3 linked regions of the Sus scrofa genome follow. The protein of the gene in region 3 interacts with the protein of the main gene of each other region in a pairwise test. Links are inferred from orthologs where the notes say so. Each region holds a gene or a part of one and is shown on either strand. Other genes may lie near its edges. The genes, in order: CCND2, CCNA1 and CDKN1B.

Region 1 (2,946 bases), about 6.4 Mb from region 3:
GTGACCCGCAGAGCTCCCGACTCAGTACCGAACAGGTCAGGAGCCAGGGCGCTTCTCCGTCCAAAATGGTTCGATTGCGTGGGGACTATTTGGCAACCCCCCTCCCCCATCCTGCCCCTCCTTATTTCTTAATTCTTTCTCGAGTTCATTGCTTTGAAATCGAATCTTGCCATAAAAGGCATCGGCCGTTCCTAGAGATTATCCTACAAGGGGTGTATACGTGCTAGTCCATAACATGAAAAACAAGTCTCTAATTTGTTCCCATAGTGCAGGCGTACATTTTCCTAGCTACTCTGTAGGTTTTCCTGTAAGCATTTTACCATGACTTTTAACATCGTCAAGCAGGAACTGTTCGCATATCTAAGAGATTCCCTTGTGTTGTACTTCAAATAGGCACCAGATGCTTTGCATTATTCCGTTTTTACAGAACCTTTATCTCTCACTTCTAAAAGATCTTTCAAATATGATCTAGGTGGGAGCAGAATTTGTTTTTCGTTTTTTTTGTGTGTGTGTTTTTTTGTTTGTTTTAAAGTTTCATTCTAAAACATAAGAGAACAAAACACAACCAGAGAGAAGGAAGGAGAGAGCCGATTGGACCCGTCGGGGCCACCCGGCATCCTCACAGGTCAATATCCCGCACGTCTGTAGGGGTGCTGGCTTGGTCCAGCTCGTCCTCCGACTTGGATCCGTCCTGGTCCTGACGGTACTGCTGCAGGCTGTTGAGCAGCACGACCTCAATCTGCTCCTGGCAGGCTTTGAGGCAATCCTGGAAGGAGAACGGTCCAGAGACCAGAGCTGTTAGCAAGGGCAGCAAGACGCAGAACGCACACACAGTTCGAGCCTCATCTAGGCCCACACTTGTTTTCTAGTAGAAAAGCACAGGAGTCAGAAAGCACAGGAGATGGGTCCTCCTGGTGCCGTGGAACCTCCCCACTCCGTGGCGGGGCATGGGGGCGTGGTGTCCCTGGACCAGTAGCATCAGGACCACCGCCACCTTGGGGCTCGTTAGAAATGCAGACCCTCAGCCCTCTCGGGACCAGTCTAATCAGAATCTGCATTTTAGCAGAAGCCCAGGTGAATCGGATGCACAAGAGAATCAGGGCAGCGATGACCGTGCTGCGCCTGGTAATCAAAGGGCCAGTGATGCTTCCTTCCTGGAGATGCTGGGCGGTGAGAGGGAAAAGGGGAAGCCAGCCCTGGAGACTGTGTGAAGGCACCAGATCAACGTGGCCCCTGAGGGACAGATAAGACAATGGACTGAGAGCGAGAGCAACTGCGGAAATGCTTAAAAACAGGCACAGTCTGCTTTTCTGCTTACTAACTGTTGAACTTGCATGACAACACAACACAGACCGTTTAGGAGTCTGTGCCCTTGAGCTCTCTAATTTGGGAATAGGCAAAAAAATTTGCAGCACTGCTTTGATATTAGTCTATATTTGGTAGAGAAAATTTGGAGTGGGTTGGCCCCACGCAGAAGCTTCTAGGAGCTGAGGGACATGGGACACAATGGCAATTCATGGGTGTCACCAGGGAGGGACTGTGGCTGACACTAGCAAGCGGGGCATCAGCTTGAAGGGCTCTCCCAAGCAGCATGTACACACAGACAATAATCCACTCCGCCTGGGTCGTTCCAGTTTTGCATATTTTCCCCTTTTGCTTGCTTCACCTTGCAATCTTTCACGGCCCAGTAGTTGTTGCTGGCCAAGCACAAAACATTGTCTTTATTTTCCAAAGATCTAAAATAAAGTTAGAGAGTTCCCACTGTGGCACACTGGGTTAAGGGCCCAGCATGGTCGCAGCTGTGGTGTAGGCTGAAGTGGTGGCTCGGATTCAACCCCTGGACCGGGGACGTCCATGTGCTGCGGGTGCAGCCAAAATCAATACAGTTGAAGTTAATTACTAGGAGCACATTTGCAGACCCCCCAAAACATTTTCCTTTCTTATCTCTCATCCATTCCACATTTCAAACTACAGCTTTTTATGAAAATTAAGATTAGGGACAACAGCCAACCCAGCACTGAGGGCAGAGATGAAACAGCACCCGGAATGAGGAAGAGTGAAGAGAGGGAGGTGGTGTTTTGCTATCAGACCACCAGCCTTTTGGGCAAAGTTACTTTCCTTCCCTGACCCCAGTGTGCCCACTTGTAAAATAAGGCTAAGGAAGCGCTCACAGAGGGAGCACTGACGGAGCTCATCAGGTGAAGTGCTAAGTTCAACACACGGCAATCATTTATTATGAATAACAAGTCAGTCCGGGAAGCTGAAAGAATTCCTGAGAGTTCTCTGAAACGAGGTACGACGGATGGAACATCTGCTCAGGACAGGTGAGGCGGGCACTGCGATAGGCCCCCGGGAGGAGTATCCAGTGGGGCAGGTGCACCCTGGCCACCAAGCTCTCCGTCCACCCCGAACAAGCAGAGGAAGGGCCAGGGACTGGCCACCGAGCCCAGTGGCGACATTTCTCAAGCTTTCCTGTGGCCTCGCCTGGTCATGTCCTCAAACCTGCCTGACCCCCAGCTGGTGATTACAAAGCTGAAGCCTCACCAGCCCCTGGCTCTGCCCATGGCCAGGCTCCTGGTTGCTCACTACTCATGAGGTACCAGGCACTGAAGGCTAAGGTGGCGATGCTTCTAAGGGCACCTGCATCTTAGCACAAAATATCTGAGCACTCGAAAGCCTTACAAGCGAAGAAAACAATTCATCTTAAAAGTTAACAAGGCAAAAAATGACAAGAGACAAAACTCCTCTGGATCGCCCCCCTAGGAAGCTCCTGGCCGATTCTGTCCAACTGTCCTTCCTTGAGAGGCTAATTCTGGCCCCGTGGAGGGGTAACCCGGGGCAGCACACCTGCCACCCCACTACCCTGCCCAGCTCAGGATGCCGTGATCATCACTGCCTTAGGCAGCTTAGGCCGCATCAGAGACAGATGGTGCTCCCAAGGGGAGG
Region 2 (3,504 bases), on a different chromosome or scaffold from region 3:
TAAAAATATCCCTTCACCAAAGGAGCATCCTACCCCTGACTTAGAATTAAATGTAAATGACCCCTCAGAGGTACTTGGCCACATCTAGTCCTCAACCCACGGTCTTTACTCCCGAGGGTCCAGTAGGAAAGCTCAAAGAGATGGTGTTGTTTCACATCCTTTCACTAACCTGCCTAGGCTTGGCCTTCACACTTTGCCAATTTATGGACTGCTGTATGAGAAGTGAAAAGTAGGAAGGAAATAAATCTCAGGTAGCCATGTACTAAACATAAAAATCTCCGGATTCCTCAGGACACTTAATCCTAATAGTCTGCCAGATGTCTAAAAGCATAGGGAAGCGCCTATTGTGGCACAACAGGTTAAGAATCCAGCTGCAGCGGGTCACTGCGGAGGTGCAGGTCCAATCCCCAGCCTGGCACAGTAGGTTAAAGGATCTGGTGTTGCCGCAGCTGTGGTGCAGGTCACAGTTGCAGCTCAGATTCAGTCCCTGGCCTGGAAACTTTCAAAGGCTGTGGGCGCAACCATTAAATAAATAAATAATTAAATTAACTTAAACCTACAGAGAAGCATTCTTGAAGTAGAGATGACATTTGTAATACTCCCAACCAAAATTCCAGGCATAGTCATCAGTAAATATGCTTAACATGTGGTCAGAAGGCAAGCTGTTTATTCTTTAGAAAATGTGAGACATATTATAAGCTACTAATATCTAAAAGAACCTAAATACATGTACATCTAAAAAATGAATGCCATCTATAACAAAGCAACACTAGTTGACCCGAGCTGCAGAGTGCTAGAAAACATGAAACCAATTCTGTGGATCTGGTGGTTAAGTTCTGAAAGTGCTTCAGTTCCGAAACTTATTGTAGAGGAAGGACTGCGGGTGGTTCCATGAGAGACACATGCATGTACCTGAAACGAGACCCAAAGCAAGTTCAGCACGAGCCAAGGACATTGGTTTCGCAAAACCTCACAAAGGCCAAAAACTTTCTAGTGGTTTTAACAGAAAGGAAGGAGCTGGCTGGCGAGATGGACTGCAAGCTGACCAATTATAAACCTAAACGATTATAAACCCTCAAAAACGATTTTCTTAATTTGACATGCTATCCTACTTGTCCAGCCTAGCACCAGATAGCCAACTTGTTCTGTTTTTAATTCTGAAATTACCATCACCTATTAAAGCTTTACATAGTTGAGCCCAGATAAGAGATTTTCAGGAACTTACTTTGAAGCCTTATACTTCTCCCTAATTGCTTGTTGAGGTCGGTGGGGTATACCAAGGCAGGCTTTATGCAGCTCACTCAGGCAAGGCACAATTTCACTCAGTGAATAGCCTGTGAACGTAGCAAGGGCTTCTGGCTAATCAAGACAAAAGACAAAAGAAAAAAACTGCATCATATAGCTTTATGAGCTATCAGAAATCTGGAGATCAAACCGTGAAAAAAAGGGAAGGAATCAGTAAGTATCCCTATTCATCTCAAAAGAACCCATAATCCTCTTTCAGAGACTGTAGAAATAAGATATTAGGACGAACAGGCAGAGTTCTAGATCTGCTCATATTATACAATTATAATGCTCAACCTTGGATAGTTTATTCTCTCATGAGCAGGATTTTTACTGGCCCCTAAAGAGCCTCCACTTACCTGAATACTCTATTTGCATGTAATAAGAAAGATTCTTAGCCAAATACAGAATAAGAAATAAGAATTCCAGTAAATAAAAGTAGATGCCCCCCTCTTTTAGCACAAAAATGAGCCTTCAAAATCAAATATTAGGGGCCTGTTTCTAATCTTGCCAACTGTCACAGGCCAAGAAGCAATGCTAACTTCTCTGTTCCCTTGAAAGCTTGATACAACCTTCTGGCCATCCTAATTAAAGCCAGGTTGTTTTACCAGAGGGGACAAGGCAGCATCTTTTGCCTTGAAGTGCTCAATGCTTACACTACAAGGGTTCTCCGGGCCTGCTTCCATTGAATGAGCCACCGCATCTCTTGGACTTTCTGCAACCTCTGCTCCCCATTGAGCTAAGTTACTGAGTCAAAGCCCTGCAGGCTGACCTGCAACACTCACCAGCATATTGTAATCTTAGTTTAATAAGGAACTCTCCCCCTTGGGAGGCAAGCCCATTATAAGCCTTGAGAGGAACTGAACAGATTTTAGATAGGCCTTGAAATTCATCTAGAAAGAAGCAGTTAGAACCTTACCCAGAAGTGCCTGTTCACAGTATAATTTGCCAGACAATAAGCAGCTGCAGCTATCAGTGAAGGAAGATATTTCAAGAACGGGTCAGCTTCAAGGAGACTCAATTCTGCTACGTACTAAGCACAAGAGAGAAAAATCTCATGGGAATTAGGAATATGAGTAAGGTTACAAGTAAACCTAGAAAATGTGGCATCTTTGTTCAATGTGCATCTAGTGATGAGCACAGAAACAGATGCTCAAAATTATTCACTGGGTTAATAATTGTTATGCCTCTCCACAACCAGAATAACATTTATAATAAATTTCAACATGCAAGTGTTTGGCCTACCAGTACAGCAGATGTGATGGGTTACTTATCCTAGTAGTGCAAGTTTATGCTGGTCAAGTAGCATTGCCCTGGCTCCTGGAGTGGACTAGAGCCTTCAACCAAAGGCAAAAATATGTCCATGTTAAAGCTATTAATTTATCAGGCAAATGAATGCAGTTCAGAGATTAGAACAGTACCAGCAGGAACTTACCAGATTTAAAGAAACATATTGGGAAGTGTATATGAACATCTTTAAATAGCATATAAATACCATATATAGTAGATCATTATAGATGGAAACCAAGTCTTCCAAACCAATGCTTTAGTGCCTTTAACTAAAGTTCCAGGACTCCAAATGACCAAATCGTGTTCCATTACTTAACATGTCAGGATGACATCAGAGCCAAATCAAACTACATTTATCGTGTTCCTATTCTGTAAACCAAAGAGGTATTGCTTGCATGTGGTCTGTACACAGGGAACAGTTTCCAAGCTTAAATCTGTTAAGAGTTGGGTGATTAGACAACGTGTGTCTGCCAAATGCGATCAATAGTGATGTCTTGTCAGCAGAAGTCATGTCTTAAAGTTTGCTCTCTTCCAGTTGCTAGAAAGCTTTTCTAGAAGGGTCCAAGGCAAGGAACTGAAAAGGAAGGAAAACTGAAGGAGTCTCCCTTTTTAACCAGAGTACTTGGAAGTCGCGCCACGTACCTTGGCCAGGTTCTCAGTCCTGACACACACACCCTGTCTTCTTAGGTACTGAAGGAGAAACTGGTTAGTGGTTGGTGCCGTCAGATTGAAAGCCAGGACCTTCAGGAGCAGGTGTTCCATTCTCAGCAGCTGTCGTTTTGTGTAAGTGTCATCAGTTATGTAGACAAACTCGTCTACTTCAGGTGGATATATTTCCTCATATTTCCTATGAAAGGGAAAGAGTTTGGGGAGGTAAATCGTGAACCTTGTGCCTCTCCCTCTTGTGCTGTCTCAACCGTGCTTGTTATG
Region 3 (4,386 bases):
GGCAACAGTGCAGAGGTTGAGAAACCCTGGTCTAGAGAATCGGGGTCAAAAATAGTGAGAAAGAACAGACACAGGAAAATTAAGGAACTGTTAACACTTAAGAGTAGCAAAATTTTCTAAATTTGAAAAATAACTGGAAATAGAAAAGCTCACCAAAGAAAATTCTATTCACCCCCCCCAAAAAAAAAACTAGTTTCTCAGTCGTATGAAGAGTATACACACATGAATGCTTGAGAAGAGGTCCTTACTACTATTTCCTGTATTCGCTGAACTGGCAATATTTACTAACAAATGCCTCTCTGTATGTCAGAATGCGGCCAGATCAAAATCCAGTAGGTCTGATTTGCTGTGGCTCATCTGATGAGCTAGGCCACGAGTCACCAACCAACAAGAGCCACAGGTGTTAAGGTTGACTCAGAAATTTTTTTCACTTCATATACAGCTATAACGTAGGGTTCGATAGTGCCGTGTTGTATAAGCTCTGAAAGATATCAGACGTATGTAATAAAGTCCTACCTGTGACACTGATGTAAAAACACAACAAACTTGAACCCTACCTTCATCCCTGTTCTTTATTTTAAAATTTTTATAAATGAGGATTTTGAAAGTTAATGTCAACATCTCTTAGGATCTCTTTAAATGCTAAGCTATGAGGGTGTTTGTGGAGGGGAAAAAAAAGAGGTCACGGTCATTGTCTGTAAGGAGTGTACAAACTATTAACTAATATATGTAGTTTGATCATTATGGAAACCAATCCATGTAAAGCTGGGGGGCTGAATTATGCAAATTAGTTTTTTACATTGATCAGATTTTAGTAGGTGGAAAAATGTCCACTTGCCTTGTTCGGGGTAGCCCTAACCAGTGGCAGCCCTGGTATCTACTATCCATTTCCCCTACAAATATCCAAATTATCCTGTTATAGCACGATTAGCATACACATGCTGACGTGTTCCTGGATTGCTTACTCTGGCAGAGTTACTTAACTTCTGCTTTGTAACTTCAGTGTTATCAGAAATTCCATAGGAACCTTAGCGTTTTTGAGCCTTCCATTTTGGTTTTTTTTAAATACACAGGTTCCTTCTCCATCCCCCACACTGATCAGAAAACAGGGCAAGTGACACTTTGTGAAAACGATAGATAAAAGAAAGCCACACTCCTCTCTATTCACATTTCTAACCATGTGATTAACCAGATATGAGCCATTTGTACCTAACTTTTCCCTCAAAGTTTTAACTGGATCATTTATTTGCCATTTTTTTCCATGTATGGCTCAAAATCTGTTAGAGTCAGCTTGGTCCTCTGGGAGATGAATTCTCCTGAAGTGGGATGGAGGCAGACCCCCGCTCTTGTTCAGATGGAAAAAGAACCTATTGTTCCCAACACCGTTTTGATGGGACTCTCAGGGAACTGACCTTCCTACCCACAGGGCCTTGGTTGCAAGTATTTGCCTGGGACACTTGCTCTAATCATTGGGAGCTTCAAAGGAAAATGATCTCAGGACAGAGAAACTGGGAAGAATTATAGTACCCCCACCCTGATGCCCAGTCTTTCCCATTCCTCCTTTTTTTGGACCTCATAAAATACAAACAAAACCCCACAAGCTCTAATCTGCCAGACACCACTAAGATCGGGTATCTTGGTGTTTGAAAACCCATGAGTTCCTTCAGCCCAAATCGGGTGTCACTTATTTGCTTCCAGTGATCAACCCACCGAGCAGTTTACGTTTGACGCCTTCTGAGGCCGGGCTTCTTGGGCGTCTGCTCCACTGAAGCCGAGTTCGGGGAACCGTCTGAAACATTTTCTTCTGTTCTGTTGGCTCTTTTGTTTTGAGGAGAGGAATCTAAAGGCAGGAGGGAATTTTAAAAAGAACACACACAAATAATCTTTATTAGAAAAAACAATGGCTGACACAAGTTGGCTCGATACTGAGGGGACAAAAAACCCACCACCTCCACCCACCATCCTGGATCCGTCATTCCCAGTGGCCTTTAAGGGCACAAAATGAGGTTGTTTTCACATAACAGAAAGTGTATTCTACGCCCCAAATCTCTCTCTCTCCAAAGCGAAGAGGGAGGTGGTTGATAAACATCCCAACGTTGTCACATACCTACAGCTGGCTAGCGGGGAGGAGCCGCGATGTTTTCAGTTAGAGAAATTATCAGATAGCACAGTCTCATGCTTCAGACTTAAAAGTCATAAACAGACCAGCAGCTAGCCAAATAGCATTTAAAACCTAAGATGAGGAAGGTGTGTTCCCCAAGAGCTAAGTCAGAATGCGCTGAAAAGAAAGCGGAGGTTTAAGATCCTCAAGCAGGGAAAACAGCACGGCAGACAAACAGAGAGAGGCAGACAAACAGACGTTTCATGCATTCGAAAGGGTCATTACCGTCTGTGGCAGGTCGCTTCCTTATCCCAGTGCACTGCTCCGCTAACCCCGTCTGGCTGTCCGGTGCATCAGTCTTTTGGTCTACCAAATGTGTGTCCTCTGAGTTGGCCTGAGACCCAATTAAAGGCACCGCCTGGCGGGTCCCGCTGACACCCTGGCCCTCCTGCGCCGGCACCTTGCAGGCGCCTTTGGGTGGCCGCGGGGGTCTGTAGTAGAACTCGGGCAAGCTGCCCTTTTCCACCTCCTGCCACTCGTATTTGCCCTCCAGGGGCTTGTGATTCTGAAAATCAAAATTCCACTTGCGCTGGCTGGCCTCTTCCATGTCTCTGCAGTGCTTCTCCAAGTCCCGGGTTAACTCTTCGTGATTGACCGGGCCGAAGAGGTTTCGGCAGGCCGAGGGCTTGGGGTACTCCGCCTGTCTGGCGTCCATCCGCTCCAGGCTCGGGCTCCCGTTAGACACTCTCACGTTTGACATCTTCCTCCCGGGGCTCGGCGACCGCCTCTCTCGCGCTCTCGCAAAACAAAACCGAACAAAACAAAACGCCTCGACCCAGCCCGAGCCCCTCTTATAAGCCCTGCGGCTGCCCTCCGAGCCAAGAGAAACAAACACCGACGAGTAAGCGCCCGAGCGTCAGGAGCGCGCTGGGGCTGGGGGAGGGGGCGAGGGGCAGCCCGGGCCAGGCAGCCCCGAGTCTCCGCCGATCAAGTGTACGGGCGAGCTGGAGGGCGGGGAGGGGAGGGGAGAGGAGCGCAGCGGAGAGAGGAGGGGGCAGAGCCAGTCCGAGTCCCCGCCGCTGCGAGCCCGCGGGTCCCGCCGACCGAGCGGCTCTCCAAACCTTGCCGGCGTCGGAGTCGCGGAGCGGCGAGAAAGTGGGGACAGGGGAGGGGGAGAAAAACACCCCGAAAAGACGAGCCCCCTTTTTTTAGTTGCCCAATATGGCGGTGGAAGGGAGGCTGACGAAGAAGAAGATGATTGACACCGCAAGTCTATTTAAACAGAGGAGGAGATCATTGGTCGCGGCGCCGGGAGCCGCCCAGCCGAGACTGGCGAGCTGGGCCTTAAGGTGGCCCCTGAGCCGCCGCTGCGCCTCCCCGCCTCCCGAGCGCGCCGCCGCCGAGCGCGCGGCCGGGAGCTCGACTGGTCGCGTGACTGCTGGAGGTGCCGGGCTGCCAGCAAACCTGCTCTGGCTGGCCTCGGAGAAATTAAAAATAAGACAAACTCGCCAAAAGGCCGGGGAGCCGGGGAGGGGCCTGGCCGGAGAGGTGGCGGGTTCTGGTCCCTGCGCTGCGCTCCGCTCCGGAGCCCCGACCTCCCTCTCCTCGCCGAGGGCGATCTTATTTTCCCCTCGCTCGCCGAGCGGGTAGGGGCGGGCAGCTGGGCTCGCCGCTGGGCGCTCGGCCCCCAGCTGGGCTCTCTCCCGGGGGGGCCCCCACCGCTCGCTCAGCGGGGGAGGCGGGGAGCCCCTGAGCCTGGGTGCCTTAGCTGGGGGTGAGCAGTGGTTAGCTCACCCTTAACCTAGAAGTCTGTGCTGTTCTAGGGGAGGCAGGGGGCTTAGGGGGGAAGCCCAGGAGGACGTCTTTCTATAAGTAGACTGGAATAGATGCTGCATTTGTAATGTATTCTGAACCCAAGCTCTCCCTCAATAAAAACAAGAAAAGGGCTTCGAGATCAAAAACTCTATTGGTCTCCCAAGTCCCTAATAAACTTAGTAGCTGTCTCAGATACATTTCGTTTAAAAAAGCGAGGATACACCCCTGGCCCAGGTTCTTGCTTCCCAAGCACTGTTAAGGCCACTGACTTGGTCTGCGTGTGGGAACTCGTCTCCTCTTTTATATTTTTCAGTTCTTTCCCGGCTTGTAGCAGTTTCCTCTACCTGAGTCCCGCCGCCAAATACAACAGCCCCTTCCTTCCTTCACCTTTCTCTCCCACCAGATTCACTTCTCCAGCCCACCCAGAACATTCAGATAGATACAAGTGAACGCTTTGAGAGAGCTGCAAG

What was found.
Region 1: the proteins of CDKN1B (region 3) and CCND2 interact in binary tests that used the Homo sapiens proteins (3 or more experiments, as listed by UniProt). The two-hybrid records come from large-scale screens. The link is inferred for Sus scrofa from reciprocal best matches to the Homo sapiens genes CDKN1B and CCND2.
Region 2: the proteins of CDKN1B (region 3) and CCNA1 interact in binary tests that used the Homo sapiens proteins (3 or more experiments, as listed by UniProt). The link is inferred for Sus scrofa from reciprocal best matches to the Homo sapiens genes CDKN1B and CCNA1.

What each region holds. Positions count from the first base shown.
Region 1 is NC_010447.5:66,091,978-66,094,923, forward strand, and holds the end of CCND2 (G1/S-specific cyclin-D2), read right to left. Parts: intron 767-2,946; coding exon 620-766; 3' UTR 506-619; downstream 1-505. UniProt on the Homo sapiens protein: Regulatory component of the cyclin D2-CDK4 (DC) complex that phosphorylates and inhibits members of the retinoblastoma (RB) protein family including RB1 and regulates the cell-cycle during G(1)/S transition.
Region 2 is NC_010453.5:12,402,499-12,406,002, reverse strand, and holds the end of CCNA1 (cyclin-A1), read right to left. Parts: intron 3,422-3,504; coding exon 3,217-3,421; intron 2,318-3,216; coding exon 2,204-2,317; intron 1,360-2,203; coding exon 1,226-1,359; intron 913-1,225; coding exon 861-912; 3' UTR 646-860; downstream 1-645. UniProt on the Homo sapiens protein: May be involved in the control of the cell cycle at the G1/S (start) and G2/M (mitosis) transitions. May primarily function in the control of the germline meiotic cell cycle and additionally in the control of mitotic cell cycle in some somatic cells.
Region 3 is NC_010447.5:59,732,929-59,737,314, forward strand, and holds the start of CDKN1B (cyclin-dependent kinase inhibitor 1B), read right to left. Parts: upstream 2,904-4,386; 5' UTR 2,862-2,903; coding exon 2,387-2,861; intron 1,841-2,386; coding exon 1,719-1,840; 3' UTR 1,711-1,718; intron 1-1,710. UniProt on the Homo sapiens protein: Important regulator of cell cycle progression. Inhibits the kinase activity of CDK2 bound to cyclin A, but has little inhibitory activity on CDK2 bound to SPDYA. Involved in G1 arrest. Potent inhibitor of cyclin E- and cyclin A-CDK2 complexes.